Linked DNA regions of Oryctolagus cuniculus. The protein of the gene in region 1 interacts with the protein of each later gene in a biochemical or structural test. Links are inferred from orthologs where the notes say so. Each region holds a gene or a part of one and is shown in the gene's direction. Other genes may lie near its edges.

Region 1 (4,184 bases):
TGGATGCCCCTCTTCCAGGCCAGCTCTCTGCTGTGGCCCGGGAAGGCAGTGGAGGATGGCCCAAGTGCTTGGGCCCTGCACCCCATGGAAGACCAGGAAAAGCACCTGGCTCCTGGCTTGGGATTGGCACAGCACCGGCCGTAGCGGCCATTTGGGGGGTGAACCAACAGAAGGAAGATCTCTCTGTCTCTCACTGTCTATAACTCTACCTGTCAAATAAATAAATAATCTTAAAAAAAAAAAGTTTTTCACTTACTTGAAAGGCAGAGAGAGAGAGAGAGATCTGCCATCCACTGGTTCACTCTCCAAATGCCAAACACAGGAACCCGGCTTCACCACGAGGAAGCCAGCTCCTGGGCTGGGGGCTTTACGTTCAGCAAGCCACATTTCTGTTTCCTGCCTCCCTCCTTAAACTACCTTTAGCATATCGCTTCCCCTCCCCCCCATAAACACATTATCTTGTAAGACACGTGATCTTTCCTTAAGCTGGCCTGCCCAAGAGGAGTGGGAAGATAGACCCTAAACTTCTCTTCAGGGCCGAGGCATGTCCACAAAAGTATTTCGGGGCGGGCCCCACCTGGTCGGGGCGTGGGGGGGACACGTGGCGGGTCCTAAAGCATCCTCCCAGGACTGCGGGGTTTCTTGGTTGGTTTGTTTCCTAATTATCAAAGTACCACACGCGTCTCCTGTCCAAAAAAAAAAAAAAAAAAAAAAAAAAAAGGAAAATTCAAAGACTGTGGAAACAACCCGTAACCGGTGTGATTTTGGGCAGGGTGGGGGCACGCTCGGGGAAGGCGACGTGAAGATGCGCTGGGGTCTCCGGCCCCCAACTCCGGGCGGCGGGTGGCCACCGGCGGGTGAACTCGGCCGCCCAAGGCCGTCCGCACGGAGGCTCCCCGTCGGCCACCTGCGCGGACGGACACTTGGCGCCTTCCCGGGCGTAGCGCCTCAGCTCCGTCACCCCCGCGGCCACCGGCCCCCGAGGCAGGGAGACCCAGCCCAGGCACTTTCCCGGTCACTGTCTACCGACTGAAAATAGATCCCGAGTCCGCCCCCGGCTCCCCCCTCCCGCCTTGAAATCCTCCCCTTTAAAGGGAGCCACCGAGTGACGCCGGGGGAGTTTGCGGAAGCGCCAGCCGCGTTGGGGCCTTGGGCGGATCCCGTGATGGAACAGGACCCGCCCCCGGCTCCTCTTCCCCCATTGTGTGAGCGGCTCGCGCCCTGGCCCCGCCCCTCGCCCCCTCCCTCCGGCGGCGCGGCCCCGCCCCTTTTTTTCGCCCCCCCTTGGCTCATTTCCGGCCGCCGCTGCTACCGCTAGCCTGTAAGGAGGATTCGGCAGAGGGAAGAAACAACAGCCGCCATCTTGTTTGTGTGCTAGGCTCGGGGGGGAGAGAGGGCGAGAGGGAGCGGGCGCGAGTGGGCGAGCGGGACGCCGGGCTGAGTGCGAACTGCGGGAGCGGAGGAGCGCGGCGTGGAGCCGGGCCGGCGAGCGGCGGCAGGGCCGAGACAGTGGCAGGGGGCCCGGGGCGCACGGGCTGAGGCGACCCCCAGCCCCCTCCCGCCTTGCACACACCCCCAGCGCGGCCCGGCAGCCGGGCCCGGCGTCGACGCCTAGGGGGGACCATTACATAACCCCGCGCCCCGCAGCGCCTTCGCCCGCCGTCGAGGGCGGCCCCGAGCGGAGCCCCGAGGGGCGGGCGCTCCGGGCACCTGGCGGCCGGGGTGGGGGCCGCGGCGGCGGCGGCCGTATTTATTTATTTTCCGCGGGAGAGGAGGGCGGAGGAGGAGGAGGAGGAGAGCGCAGCGCGAGAGCAGGCAGCCTGCGCCGCCGCCCGAGCGGGGCCTCCTCGGTGGGCTCGGCGCGGGCCCGGCCCCCTCGGCCCTGCGGGCCGGCGAGCTCCGCGCCGGGCGTCCTCGCCGCGCCTCCGCCGGCCGCCGCGCGATGTGAGGCGGCGGCGGCGCCAGCCTGGCTCTCGGCTCGGGCGAGCTTCCCGCGGCCATTAGGGGCCGGTGCGGCGGCGGCGGCGGCGGCAGGAGGAGGGCTGGGCGGGTGGGGGCGCAGGCCCGGGAGGGGGCACCGGGAGGAGGTGAGTGTTTCTCGTCGCCTCCTCCTCTCCCCCCTTTTCGCCCCCGCCTCCTTGTGGCGATGAGAAGGAGGAGGACAGCGCCGAGGAGGAAGAGGCTGATGGCGGCGGCGGAGCTCCGAGAGACCTCGGCTGGGCAGGGGCCGGCCGCGGCGGGCCGGGGACTGCGCCTCTAGAGCCGCGAGTTCTCGGGAATTCGCCGCAGCGGACGCGCTCGGCGGGTTTGGGCCCCCGTTGCCCTGCTCGGGCCTGGGCGCAGGCCCGGCCCCTCGCACTTGCCCCTACCTTTTCTGTCGAGTCCGCATCCCTCTCCAGTCACCGCGACCCGGCGGAGAGAAAAAGGAACTTCCCCCACCCCCCTCGGCCGCCGGCGGAGCCCCCCGAGCCCACTGCGGGGAGCGGGGCGGGACCCCGGGCCGAAGAAGAGATTTTTTTCGGAGGATTCTCGTCTGCTTCGTCCGTATCTCCGAAAGAATTAAAAATGGCCGAGAATGTGGTGGAACCGGGGCCGCCTTCAGCCAAGCGGCCTAAACTCTCCTCGCCGGCCCTCTCGGCGTCGGCCAGCGACGGCACAGGTTAGTCCTCCGGCCCCAGCCTTTCGCGTTCCTGCCCGGTGCACCTTCCCTCTTCCATGTTACATGCGTATATGTCCCCCCTTCCCTCTCTTCCCACTTCCCTGCTCCGCAATTAATTTTTAAAGGTGTTTGAATGAGCTGGTCGAAGACGTCCAGTAGCCCGACCATTTTCTTGGCCTCCTAATACATTGGTTGCAACACTATGTCAAACCGATGTGTGTTCTGGAATTAGCGCTCGCTGGATAGAAACGGCCCTTATTGTTGCCCCGTGCACTCAATTTCGGGAATGCCGATGCTTCTGTGTGTGAGGGCTTTTACGTAGTTCTAGATTGAATGTGTTTTGTTGGTGGTAGATGAAAACTTGCGAGCCTTTTCTCCTCGATTGTACTTACCTCTTCCTTTTACTTTCCACTCTTCTTTTTCAAAATTTTTTCTCTCCGTTGCACAAGATAATCTGAGCAGGAATAAGATGTAAAAAAAAAAAAAAAAAAAGACCTTGGTTTTATTTGTGTGAGATCCAGATTTCAGATTTGATGTGAAGTTGAACCGAATTATTTTACCCATCACTCTCAGCTTTCTTTCTTTTTCTTTCTTTTCTGTTTGCTCTGAGAATCAATATGGGGCGCAGTTCATTTTTACATCCCCCTCCTCTTCGGTGTCAGACCAAAATGTCTGAAACTCTGGGTTTTCAGGTTGGGAATGCGAGGCCTTTTCTTGCAGTTTGTAGTCACTTTTTCACTTTGGACGAAAGCAAAAAGGAGAGACGGTTCTGCGGAGGAACGTCCCTGGGAATCCAGTTTGAACGAAGTTGAGTGTTCCAGTCGTGAACTCCAACTTGAACTGATTGTACAGAAGTTTAAAATATGCTGTAGGTTTTGGTTTGTGTGTGGTTTTGTCCTCTTCCCCTGAAAACGTCTCTGGAGTTGGAGATTTCAGTTTCAAAGCTCTATGAATTCTTTGCTTTAGTCAGTTGTGGACTGATCCCTTTGTTAGGAGAAGTTGAGGGAGACCTCTTGCATCCTCCTCCTCTTTCTCTTACGCTTGTCTCCTGATGGCCACCGACCTTCTCTTTGGCTGTCATGGTTGTTTGAGATGCCGGCGTAATGAAGAGAAGAATGGCTGGCCATCTGACAGTCCACAGGCTGTTCCCCAACTGTGGAGCATCCCCGTAACTCGCCAGAACGTCATCCCTCTGGCTGCCAGTGCGAGTGCATAATGGAGTTAAGTGCACCCCAGAAGTTGGTTAGACAACTTCTAGAGCTCGTTTCTAAGTAGGTTTCATTTTAAAGGCTGAAAATAGGAGGATTATAGCATGCTATGAATTTGTTGCTTTTTAAGAAAGATGTATCATCATAAGACATGAGTTTGTTAACCTGAAAAAGATTACAGCTAAGGATCTTGCAGTTCTCCACCTAAGGTTTGTAACATCAGCTTGTGTGGGTAACCTTGTGTTTCTGTAGTCTTTGAGGATTTTTTTTTTTTTTTTACTTCAGAATTCATGCACACACATAGTATTGTGTTCCTT
Region 2 (3,500 bases), on another chromosome or scaffold:
ACTTCTTTCCTGAACTTTTCCCTCAGTCCTTTTCCTGGGATCATGGTCCTTCCTTAGTTGCTCTGGTTCTTCTCTGTGGTAGAGGCAAGTGCAGGGCCTCTGTCCACCATCTTGGCTCCATGCTACACCTATTCTTGGACTTATTGTCTGTGGCTGCTTTTGTCCTGCAGCCAGAGTTGAGTACTTGTGACAGAGACCTAATTGTTTGCAATGTCTATGATATTTTTTATCTGGCCCTTTATAGAAAAATTTGCTGACCCTTAATTTTGTACCAGATTTCATCCATGTACACCTGCAGTACTTTAGTTTCTCAAAGTGCTTTACCTACCTCTTCTATTTTGTCTTTATAACTTGTATACACGTGAGTGTACCCATGTGAGTATGTGTATTGGTAAATGCACATGTGTGTGAATTTAGGACCCAGAAAATCCACAAATAAGTATCTTACTAGAGCAAAGAAGAGAAGGTTTGCTGTGTTCCGTCCACACTGTCTTAAGAGAGTTAGTCTTTGTGATTTTCTGCTCTCTTCTCTATCCCAGACCAATTTTCTGTCAGCCCATTCAGCAAGGGATGAGGCAGCAAGGCTGGAAGAGCGCAGGGGTGTGATTGAATTTCACGTGGTTGGCAATTCCCTGAACCAAAAGCCGAACAAGAGGATCCTGATGTGGCTGGTCGGCCTGCAGAATGTGTTCTCCCATCAGCTGCCCCGAATGCCAAAAGAGTATATCACGCGGCTCGTCTTTGACCCGTAAGTTTTGTGTTAGCTCTTCCTCCTTCTTTGTTTCCTTTTACAATGGAAGACAAACTACTTAGATGGTGAAAGTCTGCCACAGTCTACCACAGAAGTCTCTTCTCCCTCCTGCGATGATGTGCTATGGAGTTTCATCAAGCTGATTTTCATGTCAAAAGGTACTGCAGTTGATTTCCCCACAATTTACACATTTTTCTTTTATAAATATTTATTTATTTGAAAGGCAGGAAGACAGAGAAAAAGAGAGAGAGAGAGATATCTTCCATCACGGTTTACTTCCCACATGGCCACAAATATTTGTTCACTTTATAGAACTCCATGCAGGTCTCCATGAGTGTCTGGTGCCCAATTACTTGGGCCATCTTCTGCTTCTTTCCCATGCACATTAGCATACAGCTGGGTCAGAAGCTGGACAGCTGGGACTTTAACCAGCACTCCCATATCAGATGCCAGCATCTCAGGCAGTGGTTTAATGGGCTGTGCCACAACTCCAGCCTCTATAATTTCTTGTTAATGATGATGAAGCTTTATATTTTAAGTTTTTTGGTGACTATGCTGTGTTCGTTTACTATAGAGTAGAGAGAACTACACACTAAGACGATATCCCACTTTTTTTTTTTTTTTAATAGTCAAAAGGCTTCTAGTTTTAATACCTTAACTAGGTTTCATTGTTGCCCATATTGGTAAAAGTTGGGAAAATTATTGAGAAATAAGTCAAATTAACTCTGCAAATCCATTGTTTTAAATTTTTTTTTAAAACCCTAAACCCCAAATTGATTTATTTAAATGTATTTTGACATATATAGCTCAACAGCCTATGTGGACTCTGATCTTCTTGTGTGACAATTCAGAATGATACTTGAGACAGAGAGAGGGTCTGATGGGGGTCTGGCAAACTGTACATGTGAATTTCATATTCTTCCATATTGTTTCTGTAATATTTTTGACTAAGGCTAAACTTGTCGAGGACATGTGTTTGACCATTGCTTCATGTCCGCCCCTGACCTCCCACCCTGGGGTCCTTGGTGTGGGGGCTGCCAGTGCCACAGTACTCCATGCACACTCTGTTCTCTATCTGTAAGCTGCAGATGGTTCCTAGGTGACTGGTGTTTTGTTGTGGTGGGCACTGTGAAGAAGGCTTGTGCTGGCAAGCTTGATCTAAGAAGCCCAGAATAAAGGATGGTCTAACAAGATAGTGACCAGATGAAGGCATACCCCTAAAAATATATTTCTGTAATGTGGATAGTAAAACTTTAATGTAATTTTATTCTTTTCAGGAAACACAAAACCCTCGCTTTAATTAAAGATGGCCGTGTTATTGGTGGTATATGTTTCCGTATGTTCCCATCCCAAGGATTCACAGAGATTGTTTTCTGTGCTGTAACTTCAAATGAACAAGTCAAGGTAAGAGTAATCCAAGGTCTCAGAAGAAAAGGAGAACGTGGGGCTTCTTGCTAGAGCTGCAGAGCTTGGGAAGTTCTCTGTGCTGTGTCCAGAGAGGGCTCCAGTAGAATTCAGGACTACACTCACTGCAAGTATATGGATATGTTATGTGAGAATAGGTGGCTCCACACACCACTAAGTAAGGCTGTACCGTGGCTTTGTTGGACCTTGGGGCAAGGTACAGGGAAACTGTATAACCCAATGTGAAATTTACATGTAATTCAGCAAATGAAAGGATATTTGAAATAAAGCTCAGTTTTCATTTTCATTGTCAGTTTACACACACACACACACACACACAACTGGTAACACTGAATCATTAGAAAGGGTATAATTGATGTGGACTAGGATAAAAATTTGGCCAGTTTACACTTCTCAAAGATTTCTTAAGACTTTGTCCCTTGTCTGTAAAGGGGAGTTGTGGAAAATTTGCATAAGTTTATGATTAAATTTTAGAGTATTCATGGAGGTTTTGGCATGTGCTGGAATTTTTTTTAAATTTGTTTTCTTGTTTTGTTTCTTTTTCATGTCATGGTTTACCTTCCCAATAGTTCTTGGCATCAGTCCCTCCCTGGGAACTGTAGCTATGATTTAATGTTTTTTTTTTCTTAAGATTTATTTATTTACTTGAAAGAGTAACAAATACACAGAAAGAGAGAGAGAAAGAGAGAGAGAGAGACAGAGGCAGATCAGAAAGAGGTCTTTCATCCTGTGGTTCACTCCCCAAATAGCTGTAACAGCTGGAGCTCCGTGCTGCAGGCAGGAGCCCGGAACCCCACCCAGGTCTCCCATCTGAGTGGCAGGTTCAAATCAAGTGGATTTTACCCTTCTAGCACCCTTCACCTTGGACTAGCCACAGTTCAGGTGCTGGCAGAGATGCCAGAATTGAAACAATGCAGGCTTAAGGACATCTTTGGCTCCTTCGCCTTCAAAGAAGCAATGCTATTTACATAAACCAAAAATAAGTCACTGAAAGGGATTATTCTGTACTTGAGGGTGACAACCAATGCAGTTGGTACTTTTGCTTTCATTAGTGGCTTTTTTTTCTCAAGTCACAGTGCCAAGTACAGCTGCTGTGATGTAGTTGTTCTCACAAAGCACAAGTGGAGCTTTTTGTCTTTGACTTCTAGCATTAAGTACCAAAAGGCAAATGCGATTCAGCAGCCTTACGTTTATCATTCTGACTGGGGCAGTAAAGACCCACGTTTGCGTGAAACGGATCTCTGGCTTCTTTTCAAGGAATTCTGACAGTATGTCTTTAGATGGTGCTGTTGCTGTATTTATCATTTTTTCTCCTTAACCAAAA
Region 3 (3,500 bases), on another chromosome or scaffold:
GCGCCGGCACACCGAGTTCTAATCCTGATCGGGGCGCCGGATTCTGTCCCGGTTGCCCCTCTTCCAGGCCAACTCTCTGCTGTGGCCCAGGAGTGCAGTGGAGGATGGCCCAAGTCCTTGGACCCTGCACCTGCATGGGAGACCAGGAGAAGCACCTGGCTCCTGCCATTGGATCAGCGTGGTGCGCCGGCCGCAGCGCGCCAGCCGTGGTGGCCATTAGAGGGTGAACCAATGGCAAAGAAAGACCTTTCTCTCTGTCTCTCTCTCACTATCCACTCTGCCTGTCAAAAAAATAAAGAAATAAATAAAATAAATAAAAGAGAGAGAGGGACAGAGAGAAAGGTCTTCCTTCCGTTGATTCACCCCCCAAATGGCTGCTACAGCCGGCGTGCTGCGGCCGATCCAAAGCCAGGAACCAGGTGCTTCTCCTGGTCTCCCATGCAGGTGCAGGGCCCAAGCACTTGAGCCATCCTTCACTGCCTTCCTGGGCCACAGCAGAGACTGGACTGGAAGAGGAGCAACTGGGACAGAATCCGGCGCCACAGGCGGAGGATTAACCAAGTTTCCCTTCCATGGCATGGAGCTCACGCCATCACTGCCCTCACATTCTGTGTTGTGTGGAGCACTCCCTGTCACTGCTCTCAACGTTTTGTAGCCTGGGCACTCGACTGAGTAGTATGAGTTAGACTTGGTTGACCTTTGGTGCAGCAGTTAGAAAAAGAAAAAAGGAAAATGAGACAAGCTGTCTTTTGACAGTCTTGAAAAGAGTTGTGGGTTTGTTTGTTTGTTTGTTTTTTTAATATTTATTTATTTACTTGAAAGAATTACACAGAGAAGGAGAGGCAGAGACAGAGAGAGAGAGGGAGGTCTTACATCCACTGGTTCACTCCCCCAGTTGGCCACAATGGCCAGAGCTGCGCCTTTGGGAGTAGATTTGACTACATAGAAGGGGAAGGAAGTGGAAAGCAACTTTGCAATAACTACTGATGGGCCAACGGGAATTTGAGAAATAGAAGGCAAGTGGGGGTCCTGGCAGTGATGATTCCAGGAGCCCCTGCAGAACAGGGCCAAAAAAGGGCCCCAAGTAGCTTCGTAACTTTAGCCAGAACCATTTTTCTCAATTCACCCAAGCAAGACTGTGGTGTGCTAAGCAGACAGTGAAAGCTAGGAGAGCCCCTTACACTGTGCCCTATTGATTCAGCCAGCCTGTTTCCTGGTCCCTGACGCGTGGAGCATCATCACTGCCATCCTGATTGTTGGGAGGATTAAATAATTGTGAATTTGTAGACTTGTCACCAAGTGTCTGCTGCGTGGTGATAGAAGAAACTACTTTTTGTATCATTGCTGTTTTCTGTTTTTATTTTTATGATGTTCTGATGTCAGGCTGTTTAGAATCTTTAAGACATGTCCTGTGTTTTGTTTTGTTTTCCCTCTCAGATCTGTGACTTCGGCCTGGCCCGCGTTGCGGATCCGGACCATGATCACACAGGGTTCCTGACAGAGTATGTAGCCACGCGTTGGTACAGGGCTCCAGAAATTATGCTGAATTCCAAGGTAAGGACCAAGTTTGCATAAAAAGAAAACCTTGCATGTGGGTTGTAGGAGGCCTCCCTCTCCAACCTGTTTCTACTTGCGTGGAGGCTTGGAGCCAAGGCACTGTTTTATCTCATCGTACTGCGTTAGAACTTCTGGGCCCTGGTTCAGCCACTGCACCGTGGCTGGGGTGGTGCTGACCTGTCCTCGCGTCAGGTTGAGCCTCCCGGTCGCTGTGACTGTAAGTGGTCTGTGTCCTGCCATTTGGTCAGTCCTGCCTGTGGAAGCTGCACCTACCAACACCACTGCCTGGGCATGTACCAGAGGCTTCCTGGTCATCTCAGCACCGAACCAGGGCTGTGCTGTCTAAATCAGCTGTACCTTTATAATGAGGAATGTCTCTTCTCCCTGAAGAAGACCTACAGCTCTTGTGATTCCTTCAAAGTTACATGGTACTTGTGTTTGCCAGGAAAGGGCCTTCCCCTGTGCCTCCACGTGGCTGTGGAGAGCGCATCCTGTCGCATCTGAGCTCTGCTAAGATCTGTGTGTCTCCTCAGAAATGATTGAATACCTCTGCAGAAGCACCAGAAGGCGAAAGGGTGACGGGTGTGTTAGGTTATGAGCAAGCAGGCAAAAGTTGAAGGCTGCCGTGAATACGGTGGCTTTTCATGCCTCGTTTGCAGAGAGCGTGTGAGCCAAAATTAGGTAGCTAGGTGGGCCTGGCATGGTTACGTTTGTCTGGTATCGCAGGACTCTGAGATTCCTAAGCACAGCCCCATCTGCTGGAAAGTAGTGTGGGAGGAGTCATGTGAACAGACATTGCACCGTAAGTCTGGGGCCCAGGAGCCAGGAGTGAAGTCGGGAGGCTGGGTGGAAATGGAAGAGCAGGGCTCCTAAGCTCACAGGCTCCATGCTCTTCCTCCGTCCTCCGCAAGTAAGGAGAAGCCGTTAGATTACTGTAGTTAGGAAATGGGATTATTTAAAGCAGTTATCCCTGATAACCTACATTTGTTCATTTTAGTTCCAAAAGTAAGCTCATTAAGATCAATTCCACTAGAAAGAAGGATTTGGTGTAACAGATGTTTCAGAGAAGAAAGTGCTGTGTTGACTCTCATAACTGTGTTAAAATAATCCCACACAGCAGGTTGCATCTCCAGCCAGCCGTGGACAGTCGTTCCTAGCAAGGGGTGCCCGTGTGTCTTTCATCTGGTGGCTACTTGGTCTCGTGTCGCCATTCCATCTTGAGGTGCCCCAGTTGCCCCCCAGGGGGACACAGCCAGACAGGGTGGGCTCTCTGCATGTTCCAGAGGCTCTCGCCCCTTCTACCTATGGGCTTACTGTGTGGGAACCTTTGTGGAGATTCATTTACTTGTAACACCTCTAGCCTAGGATCATCTTTCTAGTGACGTGTTCAACTTTATTCTTTTTTTTTAACTTAAAAATCTTTAAAGCCCATAGAAAAACTGAGAGTACAGTGACTGCCCCTGTACCCCTCACCTTCATTCCCCTGCCGTTGGCATCATACCCTTCCTTCCCCTTGCTCCCCACCTTTCTCTCCTCTCGTCTTCTCCGCGCTCTCCTCTTGGTCTGACCGTCTTCACTCTGCACCAGCCTGGTCCGTCACTTCACTCGTGCCCCCTTGGGAAACACTGATACTTCTAGAAAGGGGGTGTACTTCCCTAAAGCCAGGGAACCCTTAGCCCACCTAAGACGATCAGCATTCACTCAGCGACATTTTTGCAGAACACAGGTAAGCTGGTTTGTAGAACCACGCATGTTGTGTAAGTACCACAGCAGTGATGCTTTGTTCCTTCTCTGTGAAGTGCATCAGAACACACCTCTGCTTGGTGCTGTGTGGGTGCGTGTCCATGTTGGTTTTAAATTTCCCTTTATTTAACTTTGGCCAAAAACAAAGATTATTTTGGATTTTAAGAGGGGCCAGCATTGTGGTGCAGCAGGTTAAGCTT
Region 4 (4,037 bases), on another chromosome or scaffold:
CCAACTGAATACATCTACACCTGTTTCCCCTTTTGGCAACCCAAGGACATTCAGGTTCAACAACTGATCTTTGTTCAGACCTAGATACTGTGCCCATTACTTCCATATACATTCTTTCCTTGTGCCCCTACTGTGATATCCTTAAAGAGTTACAAGTGTTTTATCCCGCTTTACAGATGATAAAATTATGTTCAAGAAAAGTGATTAATCACCCATATTCCCATAACTAAGGTTGACTGCAAAGATGTGATTCCTACTGCAACACGGGTGGAATCTATTTTCATTTTTTTCAGTATCTATCATGTAGCTGCCAATGATTTCCAAATCACGTCTCTAATTCTAGTCTTTTTCCTGGACCCCAAACCCATATATTCAAAAGCTCTCAAGCCCTTGCAAGTTCTACAAACTCATCGAAAAAATGAACAGATACGCTCATATGAAAACTTGTTCCTTCCTTATTCCCTTTTCCCCCTCATTGAGTACGTGTGGATTGTCCACGATGTCACGCCTAAGACACACATAATTACACAAAGAGATTTAAAATGCCATTTGTGACAAATTCTCTATTCGAGTACCATCGGATGCCACAAGAGCCTAGGAAAGGGATTCCAAGTAGGACTGGGAACCTCAACACGAGGGGTTACAGCCAGCACGCAGGCCCCGTGGCGGGAGGGGGCCTGGTTCTATTTATAGTGGTGACTGACCAGCCAAAGGTTACCCAGCTCGCTGCCTCCTTCAGTAAGAGTTCCAAAAGCCAATCACAAACATTTCAAGCAGGGCTTTTAAGATGACCACTACCCTGTTCCCTCTTAGGGTGCAGGTCCTGCCCCGCGCTTTAGTGCCGGAGAATCTCACGCGCGCCTCCATCAGGCAGGCGGGGCCGCGACCCCATCCCGCACATCTGACCTTGGGCTGTCCCTGGCAGGCCGCGGGCCCCAAGACCCCTCGGCCTCCCGCACTCCCCCGGTTTGCCCACAGAGGCACTATCCCTCATTTACTGGGTCTGCGGCACTCTTCGAAGAGCAGAAGCGCCGAGGTCAGCTGTGACCCCGAGCCAGGCCCTGAAGGTGCTAGGGACACAGGACTGCGCTGCCCTCCCAGTAAGGCAGAGGTGACGGGCAGCCTAGGCCGTGTGAAGAAACCCAGAACCGCAGTCCCAAGAGACCGAGCTGGTCTAGTCACCCTCCCAGTCACCTTGCACTCAGCCCCGAGCTGCCAGAACCGCCGCCGCCGCCGCCACCGTTCCACTTCCGGCCCTGACTCCGCCCCCACACGCCTACCCGCCATCGAAATGCATTATGGGCCGCCGTTTCAGTCGGTCGGCACTCACCGGACAGGAAGCGTCTCGGAGGCAATCTGCGACCGGACGGCTCTAGGTGAGACAGAAGCCAAACAGGAGGAGGAAGTGGAGGGTAACTGCTTCCGGGTCCTCTAGCGAAGCCTCCGCCATCTTTCCTTCGCCTAATTTGACCCGTTCGCTTTTTCCCTTCTGGAAACCTTACTCTACGCATGCGCACTTCGGCTGGCCTGTCCCGAGTTCAAGCTCCCCCCCTCCTAGGCAGCGTCCTGCTCTTTAGGGGTTGTTGGGGTGTATGTGAATGTGCAGGGAAAGTGAGAGTGTGCGAAACACGCGGATTGGGACGTGGCGCCTCGTGCGCCGCTTGCGCTCGTTTCCCGCACCCTGCTGGGAGTTGTAGTCCCGGACCCGGGGGAGCCTGGGAGGCGGGAGGGGGTTCGGGGTTTCTCGGCGCCGATTCCGCGGGAAGGGCCCAGGGGCCTCACACTTGGAGTCCTGGGAGCTGCAGGGCTCGGCCCGGAGGGACGCTGCACGTGGAGCCCGCGCCTCTGCCGTTCGCAGCCGGCCCCGGAGCGCGGGCGAGAGCGCCAGGGCCGATTCCGGAGCGGGTGAGTGCGGCCGCGGGGGAGGAAGGGAGCGCGGGCCCGCGCGGGCCGGCCTCGTTCCGGGGCCTTTTCCCCCACCGCGGCCCCCCCGCGGCCGCCTCTGTGTTTTGTTTCCGCTGGTCCCCGGCTCCGCGACTCCCATTTCCGTTCGTGGAGACTTGAGGGAGCGGGGAGGGGCGGGGGGCGCGCGGCGCGGGGCCCCGGAGCGGCGCGCCTGCTGCCTCCCCGCGCTTCCCGGTCTCCTCGCCGGTTTGTGCGCGGTGGGCCGCTGTCCCCGTGGTCGCGGTTTGGGTCGGACGCCCCGGGATTTCGGAGGAAGTTGCAGACCCAGTCTGCTTCGCCGGACTCAGCGATTCACTCGCTTCAGATCCGCTTAGGTCTCCGTGCTGTCACACTTGCTCCAAAACCGTACTGTTGACGATAATGTCTGCTTGGGGTTTTTGTTTAAAAACGAGGAAATGAGCTAGCGAAGAGCTAATGTACCTTGCCAACTTTTATAGTGTTTCGTGCAATACAAGATACAGCTCCGTGATCACGTTTGGATTCAGGGCTCCGAGTTTGGCGCGGATAACGACAGAGCAGACAGTGTCTTAATACTGCATAGCGAAGCGATGAGTAGTAATTTAGAAATGAAATTCTGGTCACAAGCAGTTCTCGCCGGTAGAAATACACCTGACTCGGAGATAGCAGATTAGCAAGAGTTCCCATGGACCGCGTGGAACAGAGCAGTGAGAACATTCTTAGGTCATGCATTGCCTTAAACTGAAGAATAAATTGGTCGACTCTTCAGCAACAACTTTAAAGGACCCGTTCTCACTCAGGCTTTGACTTGTTCGTTTTCAGATACATCCTGCCACTGCATAAACAAGTCCATCATACCTGGATTGTATGTAACGTGACTTTATGATCATATAGTCATAAAGCACCTAATTAAGCCAGTTAAGTTGGAAGCAAGTCATGAGAACATGGAGAGGCCGAATATTAAATTTAAACTTTACTGTACTCTTTCCCCCAGCTCATTATTTATAAAACTTTAAGCCCGGGGTTGGCGCTGTAGTGTAGCGGTTTAAAGCCCTGGTCTGCAGTGCTGGTATCCCTTATGGACACTGGTTCAAGTCCTGGCTGCTCCACTTCCTATCCAGCTCCCTGCTATGGCCTGGGAAAGCAGAAGATGGCCCAAGTCCTTGGGCCCCTGCACCCACATGGGAGACTTGGAAGAAGCTCCTGGCTCCTGGCTTCGGCTCTGCACAGCTCTGGCTGTTGTGGACATTTGGGAAGTGAATCAATGGATGGAAGACCTTGCTCTCTCTTTGCCTCTGCCTCTCTGTAACTCAGCCTTTCAAATAAATAAATAATTCTTAAAAAAAAAAAATCTTTAAGCCTGTAATAAAATTGAACCATATAGTGAACACCCGTATACCCCTTACCCTAGCCTGGGGTGGGAGTGGGGGTCATCATTTATTAACCGCTCGCCATATTTGCTTTTTCCTTTACATGGCACATGCCTGTATGCACACATACAGAGACTTTTTTTTTTTTTTTTTTTGACAGAGTGGACAGTGAGAGAGAGAGACAGAGAGAAAGGTCTTCCTTTGCCGTTGGTTCACCCTCCAATGGCCGGCGCGCTGCGGCTGGCGCACCGCGCTGATCCAATGGCAGGAGCCAGGAGCCAGGTGCTTTTCCTGGTCTCCCGTGGGGTGCAGGGCCCAAGCACCTGGGCCATCCTCCACTGCACTCCCTGGCCACAGCAGAGAGCTGGCCTGGAAGAGGGGCAACCGGGACAGAATCCGGCACCCCAACCGGGACTAGAACCCGGTGTGCCGGCGCCACTAGGCGGAGGATTAGCCTATTGAGCCGCGGCGCCGGCCAAGACTTTGTTTTTCTTAATGTTAACTTTATTTTTTAAAATAAAAATGTGTTAAAAATATTTGTAAGCTAGGGAAAATGAGCAGTTGACCATGCAGGTACTCATCTGGACTGCACTTACATTTCTTTTTCCTGCATTAGGAAGAATGGTCCTAAGCTCTGTAAACTAATAATGTGAAGGACAGTCCTCAAATTTGTATTTCAAAAGGGAATTACATGTATATTTTGAAGGACACTAGCCTTTTTCAAAGTTTCTAGTTAAATTTTCA
Region 5 (4,174 bases), on another chromosome or scaffold:
CCTGTGTAACTCCAGGCAACTTTTACATTTTTTAAAGAGATTTATTTTATTTATTTGAAAGGCAGAGTGAGAGAGAGAGAGAGAGAGAGAGAGAGACGTCTTCTATCCACTGGTTCACTCCTGCAACTGCTGGAGCTGGGCCAGACCAAAGCCAGGAGCCAGGAGCCTCTTCCAGGTCTCCCACGCGGGTGCAGGGGCCCAAGCACCTGGTGCATCATTGGCTGCCTTTCCAGGAACATCAGCAGGAAGTTGGATGGGAAGCGGGGCAGCCAGGACTTGTATCTATGTTCTGATTTGGGATGTCGGAGTCGTCCTAAGAGGTGGCTTAACTTGCGGGACCACAATATGCCCTGAAAACTTATTCGTTTTAAAAACGATTTATTTAGGGCCCACTCTTGTGACAGAGCGGGTAAAGCTGCCACCTGCAATGTTGGCATCCCATATGGGTGCTGGTTCCTGTCTCCGGGGCTCCACTTCAGATCCAGCTCCCAGCTAATGGCCTGGGAAAAGCAGCAGAGTATGGCCCACGTGTTTAGGCCCCTGCATCCACGTGGGAGACTTGAATGAAGCTGCCATCTGGGGAGATACCCAGTGGTTGGAAATCTTTGTCTCTCTTTGTTTCTGCCTCTTCCCATCTCTATAACTCTGGATTTTCAAATGAGTAAATTAAGCTGCCTTTTTTTTTTTTTTTAAAGATCGATTTCCAACCACTTGTTCACTCCCCAAGTGGCCTAAAAATGGCCAACATAGGCCAGGCAGAAGCCAGGAGCCAGGGACTTCCTGGTCTCCCACCTGGACCATCTTTTGCTGCCTTCCCAGGCACATGAGCAGGAAGCTGAAGCTGAGACACCAGTGGAGCTGCAGGCAGCGGCTTACCCACTGTGCCCCCCCTCAACCCCCTTCTCACTCAGCGGTTGCTTGGTAAATCCTGGTTGAATAAATAGGCATTCAGCAAATACCCTATTCACCTGGTTCCCGCTTATGGTGCGGATCTTGCTGTGAACTTACGCCTCAGGACTTCCATTTAGGGTAAGTGCTGGTGGCCAGAGCTTCTGCAAAGGCTCCTTGCACTCTCCAGAACCAAAGGCTGACACTTTGGCTTCCTTCTTGCAGATAGGAGCCACGGCAGGGAGACAGGGTTAGGGTGGGGTGGGAGGAGCATCACTTTTGGGAAAACTGGTCAGAATGTTGATCTTTTCAGTACGCCCTCCCAATTCAATAGAACACACATTGAAGCAGTGGAAAGCTCAGTGCTTTCATGGGCCTCCGCATTCCCTCAAAGGTATCACCCAACCTTTGTGGCACCTCTTTTGAGAGACCATTCTGGAAGAGAGGCGGTCCCTTTAAGGCCCTGGAAAGGGTCTCGGTGTCGGTTTCCGCGAGGAGGCCACGCCCCGTCACGTGTGCACGGCTCCAGCAGGGCAGGGCTAGAGGCTCTTGGCTGTCGTCACTTCCGCTTCTCTGTCAGTCGCGAGCGAGTAGCAGAGTGTTCGGCCGCAGGGACGGAGCGTGAGTATGCGAGCCCCCCGCCCCCAACCCTTGGTGCCCCGACCCGGCCTACCCCCAACCTTGGACGGCGAGCCGCGAGCAGCCCGCCGCCCTCCGCGTCCCTGCCGGCGGTGGGAAATGGCGGTTCCGGCTGACCTCCCCCCTCCCCGCCTCGGCGTCCGTGAGCCCCCTCCTCCGTCGCCGACCCCCTGCCCGACGCGCCGAGAGCCCCTTCGCGCCCGAGGCCTGCTCCAGCGATGGGAGCAGAGGCGGCGGGCGTGGCGGCTCCGGGCTTCAGGGCGCGGCCGGGCGGGGGCGGGGAGTCGCGGGGAGGGTCCCGCGGACGCCCCCGGGACAATGCGGCTGCGGCCGGGCCCCCGACGGGGACGCGCGTGGGGCCTGTGGCTTGCCCCGTCCTCCTTGCGGCCCCGGCCCCTCGCTGGTGTGTGTTGAGGGGTTCACGGGGGGGGGGGGAGAGCGGCGGCGTCGGAAGGGGGTCGGCGGGGGAGAGGAAGGCAGGGTGGCGGCGCGAGGGGGCAGAGAGCGAGCGCTTCGAGAGGAGAAAATGGCGCTTGGTGCAAGTCCCTCCTCTCCTCACGCCGTCTCCTCCGCACTTCGCTGCCTCCCACGCCCCCTCCGACCGAACCTGTCTCCCCTCGCCCGGGCGGCCGCCAGTCCCGGCTTCTAGCAGCTTCCTGGCAGGAGCGAGTCCCTCCCCCGCCTTGGCGCTTTCCACGCCGGTGTGGCACCGAGTCCCTGTGCCCTTCTGTCCTAGTTCATTTTCACCTCGTTTTTCTTGATCCTCCCTGAGCCGGCAGGCAAGGACCAAGGGTCCTCCCCCCACTTCTCGTTTAAATTGCGTTTTGTGTGTATTCTGTGAGAACGTTCTTAATGAATTGCCTGTCCCACCATTTTTTGGAACAGTAAAGCCGCTCATTACATTAAAAAAAAAAAGTGTATTACTGAAAGTTCGAAGAACTGGGCTTAGTTGCCGTTACCTTGTTGTTACCTTATTTAGATTAAATAGGAGGTGGGAGTTTGAAATGATCTTAGGCCTCCAGGCAGCTATTACTAAACGGTGATAGTTGGGCTAGACCATTTTAAAGTGAAAAATATATGTTCGACTTGATTACCTTTTCAAAAAAGGCATTTTGGCAGTTAAAGTAGCAGCTGGCGTAAAAAAAAAAAAAGATCTAAATTTGTTTTGTAGACTAGGTTGTAAAAATGGAGCAGTAAAAGGAAAAAAAAAAATGTACCAGCTGTGCTTTGGATGTCGCTGTTCCTCTCTGAATTTACTCTTCTGGTCTTCAAGCAGTTGCCGGTTAAAATCAACATGGCTGAGTTGGGCTGATTTGGGCTTTTTGAATTTCATGGCCAGGATTGGGATGGCCCACTTCTTTTACCTTGACCTCTTATTGTGGAACACGTTCAATGCCAGGGCCTGCACAAGTTTAGTCTAGAGAGCTGGATTTTGATTTTTTTTTTTCTAAAAGGAAACTGAAGCCTTTCCCCCTTCCAGACATTCAGAGTTTGTCTTTATTAGGCCCTTAGTGGCATACAGAAATTAATAGGACCCATTCTCTTCTGAGATGGGGAAAGCAAAAGCTAAATTGAGAATTGGCGCTTTAGCACCTGGTATTGAGTGCCTTGCAAAGGCGGGCTCACGGGCCTGGAGTTTCTTACAACTGGGGCTGAGGTTTATTGATAGTGCTCTCCTTCCCCTTGGCAGTAAAGTCCAGTTGCAAGTAAAGTACTGGGCTGTGAACCTCTCTGGGGAGGAACTGGGAAACTGGATGGTACCAGTCGCTCTCATAAATAGATTCTTCATGATTTAAAATGATATTCAGGAGTAGAAAATAAGTGTAAAATGGACTGAATCACTCTGAGTTAATATGTAACATTGTGAACTCTGAAATAATACCTGTTATTTTGATGATATGGCCAAAAAGTCAAAATTAACATAAGAAATAGGAGGAAAAGTCATTATGACAAAGTTAATTAGATACCGCATCAGCATTGTATAGCTATTCCCCCTGTTGTACGAATAAATTCCTTGCAGTGAATAATTCTACATTAGTTTCTGCTGTCATTAGAACTATGAAGCACCACTGAGTGAAATTGTTTGTGTTTCTTTGGGTTTTAACAGTAAATGTTAGCAGCTGCTTTCTTACGATCACCCTACCCATAAACTGCTAACCCCACTAAAGTGAAGTATAAAAAGATCCATGGGCTTTGAGGTGGGAATGTGAGTGTGAATGTTCTCTTTCCTCACTGGTTCACAATATTTTACTGTTATTTGCAACTTAGGAGAGTGTAGATTTAAAGCTTGTGCTCAGCAGAATGATCTGTGTATCACAAAGTGGTAGAATGAACCGTACGGTGTGTCGATGAGTTTTAAATGGGAGGAAGAGCGTAGTTGAGGTAATAGGGCAACTTGTAAATTATTTACACAATACATTTTTCTTTTAGAATGCCTAAGTCAAAGGAACTTGTTTCTTCAAGCTCATCTGGCAGTGATTCTGACAGTGAAGTTGACAAAAAGGTGAGTATTACTACACTCAGTCATTTTTGTCGTACTTGACCCATCAATGTTGCCCACATCTAATCCTGAGGAACAGTGAAAGGCATGCCCGAGTATTTATTTATTTATTTATTTATTTATTTATTTGACAGGCAGAATTAGAAA
Region 6 (4,103 bases), about 48 Mb from region 1:
ACTGAGTTTGACTTGAGCTCCCTAGTTCAAAAACTCACTGTCTTTCATCTGTGATAGTAACCAATTCATACTGTTAGATACAGAGAGGGAAGAAAGATGATTGTGATCCTGAATTACTAAGAAGGTATTTATCATCGTAGCTGCAAGAACATATGATGTCAGTTTAGCTCGTCTCAATCTAATTAATATCTTTTTATCCTTCTTTTCCTAGTTGGCCTTTTTTCTCTTTATTCCCTCCTCTATCACATCCTTTAGACAAAAGTTCTTCATCAAAGGTTCATACAAAGGTGGACATGTATGAGTCTCAGGAGTCCTAGAATTCATTGTATCTACCAGCCAAATTGCATTTTTGTGGGAAGATGAATCCTGATTTTCTCCTGATTCTCAAAGGTTTCTGTGTAACTCCATTACATTGGAAAGACCAAGAAATATCCCATGGATGGAAAATATAGGTATTATGAGGTCACATAATATAACATTCTGAAAACACAGTGTATCCACTCGAATATCAAAGAACTGAAAAAGTGAGTACTTACTCTTTACAGTTATGTAAATATTGTTATCAAATGACTGGCACCCCCTCCACACACAAATAGCAATAGAAACTTAAGGCATTTTAGAGAAGGTAAAGACTAGAGAACTTGGGCACCCAACTTCATTGCTGGCATGTTAACTGTGGTAAGCAGTTAGGGAACAGATGATATGGGCTGTTCCAGCACACAAGACAGTGGTCAGTTTGGACCAATGGATAGTTTAAGTTCAAGCTTGAGAACCTCTTGAGGTTCAACGATGGCTGCTGCTTAACTACTCTACTACTTTGGACAAGTTACTTAATCTTCATGTATCATTATTTTCTCATCTGGAAATTGAGGGTGCTAATAGTAACAACCTTTTTTTTTTTTTTTTTTTTTTTTTTTTTTTTTTTTAATTTTTTTGACAGGCAGAGTGGACAGTGAGAGAGAGAGACAGAGAGAAAGGTCTTCCTTTGCCGTTGGTTCACCCTCCAATGGCCGCCGCAGTCGGCGCGCTGAGGCCAGCGCACCGCGCTGATCTGATGGCAGGAGCCAGGAGCCAGGTGCTTCTCCTGGTCTCCCATGGGGTGCAGGGCCCAAGCACCTGGGCCATCCTCCACTGCACTCCCTGGCCACAGCAGAGGGCTGGCCTGGAAGAGGGGCAACTGGGACAGAATCCGGCGCCCCGACCGGGACTAGAACCTGGTGTGCCGGCGCCGCTAGGCGGAGGATTAGCCTAGTGAGCCGCGGCGCCAGCCTAGTAACAACCTTTTATAATCTGGGGGAAGACTCAGTAATTGATGTAAGGTGGTAATGAAAAGATCTCCTTTATTAAACTCTTAGGGCAAAGCCAGAATGTAGGAAGATCAGAGGACCCCTCCTCCTTGTCAGCATTAATTTCCTGTTCCCTGGTTTCTATTTGCCATCACTCTTGTGCCAGGGCCAATTATTGTTCTCCTCTTGTTTTCATTTATGATTTTCTCTGTCTGACCAGTGGGAAGGAGACAGGTGCAAAAATGAAAATGAAAATGATTCTGAAGGCTTGCTTTGTTTTAATGTAGCAAATAAAAATACCCCAAGATTCCAGAACTACTCATTCAATTGCATAAAACCAAAAATAAACATAAGCAACATCTCTTTTATTTTCCACCTAGTAAGGCTCATATACTGAGTTCTCTAATACAGTTTATACGTGCAGCCATGTCCATGAAACTTACTGTCAATCAACATTGTTGAATGCCCAGTATACATAAAGCATTAAGGGGGATAGAGTAGTTTCACTTATAAAAAGTAGCTATATGTGATGAAAGACTAGCAAGGATGCCAAGAGTATTGTCCTCTAGTTCTATTTAACTGAAATCTTGTATACCTTTCTTTGTGTTTAGAGTTTTTTGAAAGATGCAAGGACATTGCTGCCCATTTTGAGAAAGCCATGGCAAAGTCAGTTAAGAAACACCAGTTTAGCTCTTCTGAACCTTATCTTCCAGCAACTTTAATCCTGAACAGCATCTCCTTTAATACTGATGGTTCCATCCAATATAAAGGAAAGTCATTTTTCTCTGCCTCCGAAGCCCTAGCTGCTTACATTGATGATTTTCACTTAAGCTGTGAACCTTCTGATATTAATGATACAAAGGTTAACCAGGATCAGAGCCCTCTTGAATTTCTTGCTAAGTCAAACAGTGGTAAGCTTTCATCATTCTGAGTTCAATGTTTAATTATGTATAGAAAGCTGTTGTCTTAAGAGGTATATGTCCTAAAAGATATGTTTTCTTAGAAAATAGTTGTCTAGTAGTTCATGAATCTCTTTATAAGGTTGTTATAAAATCTTATGTTTCTAAAATTTTTTCAGCAATGGATTCTTTTGAACAGAGAAATTACAGAATTAATTTTAAAATACAAGTTGCTGCAGTAATTTCAGAGAGGCAAACTCCAGATTTGGAGTCTAAAGCTCTGGTTTCTGGGTTTGAAAATGTTAAAAAAAAGTCATGTAAATTCTGCAAGCCAAAGATACCCCTTTGTAAAATAATAATGATGATCACTTCACATGGTCATTGTTGGAACTAGATGAATGTGAAAACATTCTGTAAATTGTTGCAGACGTAGGGTTCTTGGGTTCTTTGGAGCACAATTAAATAACAATGTGATAGAGATCTGGTGACTGACATGGTCTGGATCCGACTTTGCTAATGACAGGGTATAAGAAGAGTCTCTCTGGGCTTTGGTTTTCTTGTCAATAAGATGAGGATATTGAATTTATGAGTTCCATAATTTTAAAATTACATATTATGTAGGTGACAGAAAAATAAAATTGGGCCACACCAATATTTTAGTATTTCTCATTTTAAGAATATCATTTGTAAAAGCTGAAACAAGTTTATCATGAAACCAAAACTGGATGAATCAGAAATACTAACACCAACAATAAAAATGCCTACTCTTTTGTTAGACATAGTTTTAAGACCATATGTTAGTGTCCATAAGAGAATATTAGGAAACTACAAATGTACAGTGATATTTACTGATTGATGTCAGACTATAATAACAACTTAGCATATTACTGTATGCCATACTTGATATATGCAGAGTAAGAAGAGGTGTAACAGCTTCCTGTTTATTAAATGAAAAAAAAAACATAGAGCTAAATGAGGACTCACAAAGTAACATAGTTGTACACAAGAGAAAAATCATGCTTCTTTATGCTAACTCGTCTGGTTTGACTGTTGAACACTATTTGACAAGTGGGGAGGCATGATACAGGGACTGAGCATGAAAGTGTGGTTTAAGTGCCCATGATGTCTATGCAACTGAAGGACAGGCAGCATTGTAATACTGTCAGTATTACAATGACAAGGATTTTGTTGTTTTTTTATTTTGTTGAGGTTTGATAGTAGAGTTTTTCATTTTGTATGTTTTTTATGTTTATTTAACAAATTCAATGTGCTTTGTAGATACAATTCCAAAACATAATATTATTCCCTTTCTTCCTCCCTCCCATATCTCCCTCCCACCTTCTTCCTTTTTTAAAAAGTTTTTGAGATAGCATATTTTAAAATTACATTACAGTTAAAAAGATTAATACTTCACCAAATAAGAAGTTTAATAAGTACAAAGCAAAAAGGCCCTAGGTGAGTGGGAATATAGATGATGGCTGTAAGCAATAATTGAATGAAAAAATGACCATTTCACCCATACACAGTAAAATAATCACAGATCATTAAAACTAGAGTTTTTGATTTTTGATTTTTCTTGAATCCACAAACAAGAGGCCAGATAAAGGCAGTTGCTTTTTCCCCATATCCTCTGGAGCTATTAACTCCACAATCAGTGGTATTCTTGACAATTACTCATAAAGGTAAATAGAGTTCCCAATTTTTTCATTATAAACATATTATGTTACAAACTATGCAACAGATAAAGGGTTGATAACCAGAATCTATAAAGAAATCAAGAAACTCCACAACATCAAAACAACCCACTTAAGAGATGGGCCAAGGACCTCAATAGACATTTTTCAAAAGAGGAAATCCAAATGGCCAACAGACACTTGAAAAAATGTTCAAGATCACTAGCAATCAGGGAAATGTAAAT
Region 7 (3,948 bases), on another chromosome or scaffold:
TGCTGATGTGCACCCTGGCAGGGAGCAGATGATGGCCAAGAGTATGAGCCCCTGCAACCCATAAATGGGAGACACGGATGGAGCTATTGGCTCCTGGCTTCTGCCTCACTCAGCCCTGGCTACTGCAGGCATTTGGGAAGTGGACCAGTAGATGAGGTTCTCTCTGGCTGGCTGTCACCCTGCCTTTCCAGTAGATAAAAATAAGCAAAAAGCAAACATTAAAAAGTGAAAAAAAAAAAAGTCAAGAGTATCCCAATACCAGTCAATTCTATCCGGTACCTAAATCCTAATTCCTTCCATCTTCACGTCTCTCCTCCGCATTTTACAACATTTTGAGTCCATCTCTATTACACCACTCATCACGCTGTTACAATTCGTTTATACATTAGACTCCAGGGTAGATTTCTACAAGTTTATGAGGTCTTGGTACGCAAAAAGCATTCAATGAAAGCTCGACAACCCCAGAAGATTCAGGTCCAAGCGCCTGTGGCTCTTCCACTCATCCGCCTTCTGACAATAACATCACATAACCTCAACGAGCTGTAAAATGGGACAAAATTCCCCGGGCCCCATTCACTGGTGTTCAGGGAAATAGGTGATGTGCGCGGGGAAGGTCGTCGCAAATTAAGTCCAGGACTCACCTGTGCCCGGAGGCGTGACATAGGTCCGCCGCGGGTTGGCCAGCACCTTGCCATCCCGCACCACTCCCACGCCAATCTTGTTGGCGCTGCCTTCAAACCCCAGCACCGTCGGCATGGCGCCGCCTGAGAGAGAACGCCAAGGCGCCAAACACCGAGCCGCGACAGCCCTCGGCGGGCGGTACCGGCACGCTGTTGGTAAACAGTAAACCGCGCCCGGACACCAAAACCTGCCGCGGGGGCAGTGCCCGCGCCTGCGCCTGCGCCCGCCGGCGACCCACAAGGCCCCTTCCGGAACCTGTCTCCGGAGCTGCCGGGAGCGCTGAGCCGGCCTCTGCGCCGGCCCTGCCTAGTCCACTCCCCCGCCTCTCTCCTGCGGCCCAGCCCAGTCGCTGCCACTGAGCTTCTGCCCCCTCGCACGGCGCCGGCTCCTTCGGTCAGGGCGGCAGAAGGAGCCGTACATCAGGCACGAACGTGAACAGCCCAAGAACGGAGCCTTGGGACCTTCAGCCCTCCGCGGAGTGAGAGGGGCGTGTCAGAGTCTCCGTCACGTGGTGGCAGACGGCCCAATCACGCGCGGCCTCGGGTCACGTGACCACGCCAGTTACCCACGTGGGCGTCCAGCGTGCTCCCTTCTTTGTGCTCGGGTAAGGAGCCAGGCTGGGGCAGGAGCGGGGCAGGAGCAGGTCAGGTGCAGCGCTGCGTTTTTGCTTGTTGGAGGGGCCTCCGCTAGCTGCCTCACGGGACCTTTAGTAAAGGTCTCCCGTTGGCCGTAGAGCGGATCTCGCGGTGATTCAAACGCTCTATGGATAGATCTAGTTGGGGAGTGAAGCGCCGAAGGCCTGATGCACCGAGGCGGGGACAGGATTCAGAGATTATGTGGTTTGAAAGGCGGGACTTAGTGCGGGGGCCGTCCAGGGCAGGAGTTTTCTCCCCAGCCTTCGCCGGCTGAGTCGTATATCTTTGCATCCTTAGGCATCGCGGTGAAGATACTGCTTCGGTGGTCGACGTGGTTCGGGTGCCGAAGGGCGATCGTTACAGGCATGCCAAAGCGAGGGAAGAAGGGGGCCGCGGCAGAAGACGGGGAGGAGCCCAAGACGGGTGAGAGTGAAGCGGCCTCTCCCTGCCAGTCGCGGTGGGCGGGGTTGGGGGGGCTGCTTCTGAGTCCCTTGGCGAAATGTTAGCTGTGGGCCAACTCATAGCGGGCGCAGGAGAGGAAGTCGCGCTAACCGCAGGGTCGCGGTGCGTTTGCCTTGGACTCTGACTCGATGTTGGAAACCTCCAGCTCTTATCCCTACGTATTATTCTCGTTATAGAGCCAGAGACCAAGAAGGCTAAGACGGCAGCGAAGAAAAATGAAAAAGAGTCAGCAGGAGAGGGCCCCGTGCTGTATGAGGACCCCCCAGACCAGAAAACCTCACCTAGCGGCAAAGCTGCCACACTGAAGATCTGCTCCTGGAACGTGGATGGGCTTCGAGCCTGGATTAAGAAGAAAGGCTTAGATGTGAGTGGAATTCAGATTTCATGCTGAATGGTCTCAGGGCTTCATTAGCGTCTTTTCATTTTAATGCCCAGGATGTAACTTTTTTTTCTCCTTTCTTTTCTTGTGGGAGAAGTACAAGGGGCAAAGGGAAAGCAGTAGAAGATGAACCAAGACTTGCTGGAATGTCCATTCCTTCATTGCCATTGCCAGTCTTACTAATGTATCCTTCCTCCGACTGTTGCAAAAACCTCTGTGCTGGCCAGCCTCCATTTTAGCTCCAGAATACCCTCCATTCCCAAATCTACTGCTTAAAAGTCTTAGCTGCCCTTGTGATGGCTCTAATGTTTCATCCTGAGCAAGCCAGACAGCATAAAGGATTGTAAATCAGGTCTTCTGTTGGGTTCATTCCCACCTTTTCTTTTCTTTTAAAGATTTATCCATTTGTTTGAAAGGCAAAGTTACAGAGAGAGAGAGAGGTCTTCCATACAATGGTTCACTCCCCAATTGACTGCAACAGCCAGAGCTGCGCCCATCTGAAGCCAGGATCTTCTAGGTCTCCCACACCGGTGCAGGGGTCCAAGGACTTGGGCCATCTTCTACTGTTTTCCCAGGCCATAGCAGAGAGCTGGATCAGAAGTGGAGCAGCCGCTGGCCATTGCAGCCATCTGGGGAGTGAACCAGCAGATGGAAGACCTTTCTGTCTATACCTCTCTCTGTAACTCTTTCAAATAAACAAAATAAATCGAGTACCGGCCCTTCAGCAAGACCTTGCGCTTCAACGTGCTCAAGGTCACCAAGGCCGATGGCACCAAGAAGCAGTTCCAGAAGTTCTGAAACCAACGCCCACCTGCTCCCCAGAGAAATAAAGCTATTTTCCCACTCAAAAAAATGGAGCAGCCGGATCTTGAACTGGCGCCCATATGGGATGCCAGTGCTTCAGGCCAGGGTGTTAACCCGCTGTGCCACAGCACTGGTCCCTGTCCCCACCTTATTAACAGTTTCTTCCCCAGAATTGTACTTAAAAACCCTTAACACCAGCCCCTTTGGGTTTTTTCCTCTCTTGGAAGTCCCCCTCCATGCTGTTGTGGCTGGATGTCTTTGACTGTCATAAATCTTGCTTTTTAAGTCTAAAAAACAACCAACAAAATCTTAGCTGGCTATCCGCTACCTATAGAAAAAAACACAATCTCTTAGTGTAGCATTTAAGATTTTTTTTTTACCTCCTTCCATTGTCAGTTACAATAATTGTCCAAGATTTGTGCTGCTACACAGAGCTGCTTATGCACATGTATTGAGTAAAAGTCTCCTGAGCTGATGTTTTTTCCCCTTTTTCACTCCCAGTGGATAAAGGAAGAAGCCCCAGATATTCTGTGCCTCCAGGAGACCAAGTGTTCAGAGAACAAGCTGCCAGCTGAACTTCAGGAGCTGCCTGGATTACCTCACCAGTACTGGTCAGCTCCTTCAGACAAGGAAGGATACAGCGGGGTGGGCCTCCTTTCCCGCCAGTGCCCGCTCAAGGTCTCCTATGGCATTGGTAAGAGCCTGCTGCCCCCAGTGCCTGAGTGCTTCCAGAACTGCTGATACTGTCCTGGCCCACTCCGATTCCTTTCTTCCCTGCCTTCTCTTCGTGCAGTTCTTTATGCTGATTCTGTTGCACTGATTTTGTAGGTGAGGAAGAACACGATCAGGAAGGCCGGGTGATTGTGGCTGAATTTGATGCGTTCGTGCTGGTAACAGCCTACGTGCCTAACGCGGGCCGTGGTCTGGTAAGGTTGGAGTACCGCCAGCGCTGGGACGAAGCCTTCCGAAAGTTCCTGAAGGGCTTGG

Evidence for each region.
Region 2: of the proteins of EP300 (region 1) and KAT2B, one has a biochemical effect on the other in vitro, tested with the Homo sapiens proteins (4 studies listed by BioGRID, with this or other methods). The link is inferred for Oryctolagus cuniculus from reciprocal best matches to the Homo sapiens genes EP300 and KAT2B.
Region 3: of the proteins of EP300 (region 1) and MAPK1, one has a biochemical effect on the other in vitro, tested with the Homo sapiens proteins (2 studies listed by BioGRID). The link is inferred for Oryctolagus cuniculus from reciprocal best matches to the Homo sapiens genes EP300 and MAPK1.
Region 4: the proteins of EP300 (region 1) and GABPA form a complex in vitro, tested with the Homo sapiens proteins (2 studies listed by BioGRID). The link is inferred for Oryctolagus cuniculus from reciprocal best matches to the Homo sapiens genes EP300 and GABPA.
Region 5: of the proteins of EP300 (region 1) and SUB1, one has a biochemical effect on the other in vitro, tested with the Homo sapiens proteins (2 studies listed by BioGRID). The link is inferred for Oryctolagus cuniculus from reciprocal best matches to the Homo sapiens genes EP300 and SUB1.
Region 6: the proteins of EP300 (region 1) and GRIP1 form a complex in vitro, tested with the Homo sapiens proteins (2 studies listed by BioGRID). The link is inferred for Oryctolagus cuniculus from reciprocal best matches to the Homo sapiens genes EP300 and GRIP1.
Region 7: the proteins of EP300 (region 1) and APEX1 form a complex in vitro, tested with the Homo sapiens proteins (4 studies listed by BioGRID, with this or other methods). The link is inferred for Oryctolagus cuniculus from reciprocal best matches to the Homo sapiens genes EP300 and APEX1.

What each region holds. Positions count from the first base shown.
Region 1 is NC_091442.1:117,159,742-117,163,925, forward strand, and holds the start of EP300 (histone acetyltransferase p300), read left to right. Parts: upstream 1-1,384; 5' UTR 1,385-2,565; coding exon 2,566-2,659; intron 2,660-4,184. UniProt on the Homo sapiens protein: Functions as a histone acetyltransferase and regulates transcription via chromatin remodeling. Acetylates all four core histones in nucleosomes. Histone acetylation gives an epigenetic tag for transcriptional activation.
Region 2 is NC_091435.1:155,767,391-155,770,890, forward strand, and holds part of KAT2B (histone acetyltransferase KAT2B), read left to right. Parts: intron 1-539; coding exon 540-748; intron 749-2,028; coding exon 2,029-2,155; intron 2,156-3,500. UniProt on the Homo sapiens protein: Functions as a histone acetyltransferase (HAT) to promote transcriptional activation. Has significant histone acetyltransferase activity with core histones (H3 and H4), and also with nucleosome core particles.
Region 3 is NC_091452.1:29,050,752-29,054,251, forward strand, and holds part of MAPK1 (mitogen-activated protein kinase 1), read left to right. Parts: intron 1-1,437; coding exon 1,438-1,554; intron 1,555-3,500. UniProt on the Homo sapiens protein: Serine/threonine kinase which acts as an essential component of the MAP kinase signal transduction pathway. MAPK1/ERK2 and MAPK3/ERK1 are the 2 MAPKs which play an important role in the MAPK/ERK cascade.
Region 4 is NC_091435.1:20,152,970-20,157,006, reverse strand, and holds the start of GABPA (GA-binding protein alpha chain), read left to right. Parts: upstream 1-1,237; 5' UTR 1,238-1,376; exon of another isoform or gene 1,377-1,905; intron 1,906-2,208; exon of another isoform or gene 2,209-2,788; intron 2,789-4,037.
Region 5 is NC_091445.1:58,700,015-58,704,188, forward strand, and holds the start of SUB1 (activated RNA polymerase II transcriptional coactivator p15), read left to right. Parts: upstream 1-1,374; 5' UTR 1,375-1,509; intron 1,510-3,957; 5' UTR 3,958-3,958; coding exon 3,959-4,030; intron 4,031-4,174.
Region 6 is NC_091442.1:68,865,628-68,869,730, reverse strand, and holds the start of GRIP1 (glutamate receptor-interacting protein 1), read left to right. Parts: upstream 1-1,303; 5' UTR 1,304-1,944; coding exon 1,945-2,197; intron 2,198-4,103. UniProt on the Homo sapiens protein: May play a role as a localized scaffold for the assembly of a multiprotein signaling complex and as mediator of the trafficking of its binding partners at specific subcellular location in neurons.
Region 7 is NC_091443.1:54,294,492-54,298,439, reverse strand, and holds the start of APEX1 (DNA repair nuclease/redox regulator APEX1), read left to right. Parts: upstream 1-1,148; 5' UTR 1,149-1,285; exon of another isoform or gene 1,286-1,464; intron 1,465-1,611; exon of another isoform or gene 1,612-1,613; 5' UTR 1,614-1,681; coding exon 1,682-1,739; intron 1,740-1,954; coding exon 1,955-2,142; intron 2,143-3,462; coding exon 3,463-3,655; intron 3,656-3,789; coding exon 3,790-3,948. Other genes in the region: OSGEP (tRNA N6-adenosine threonylcarbamoyltransferase), read right to left, coding at 642-756.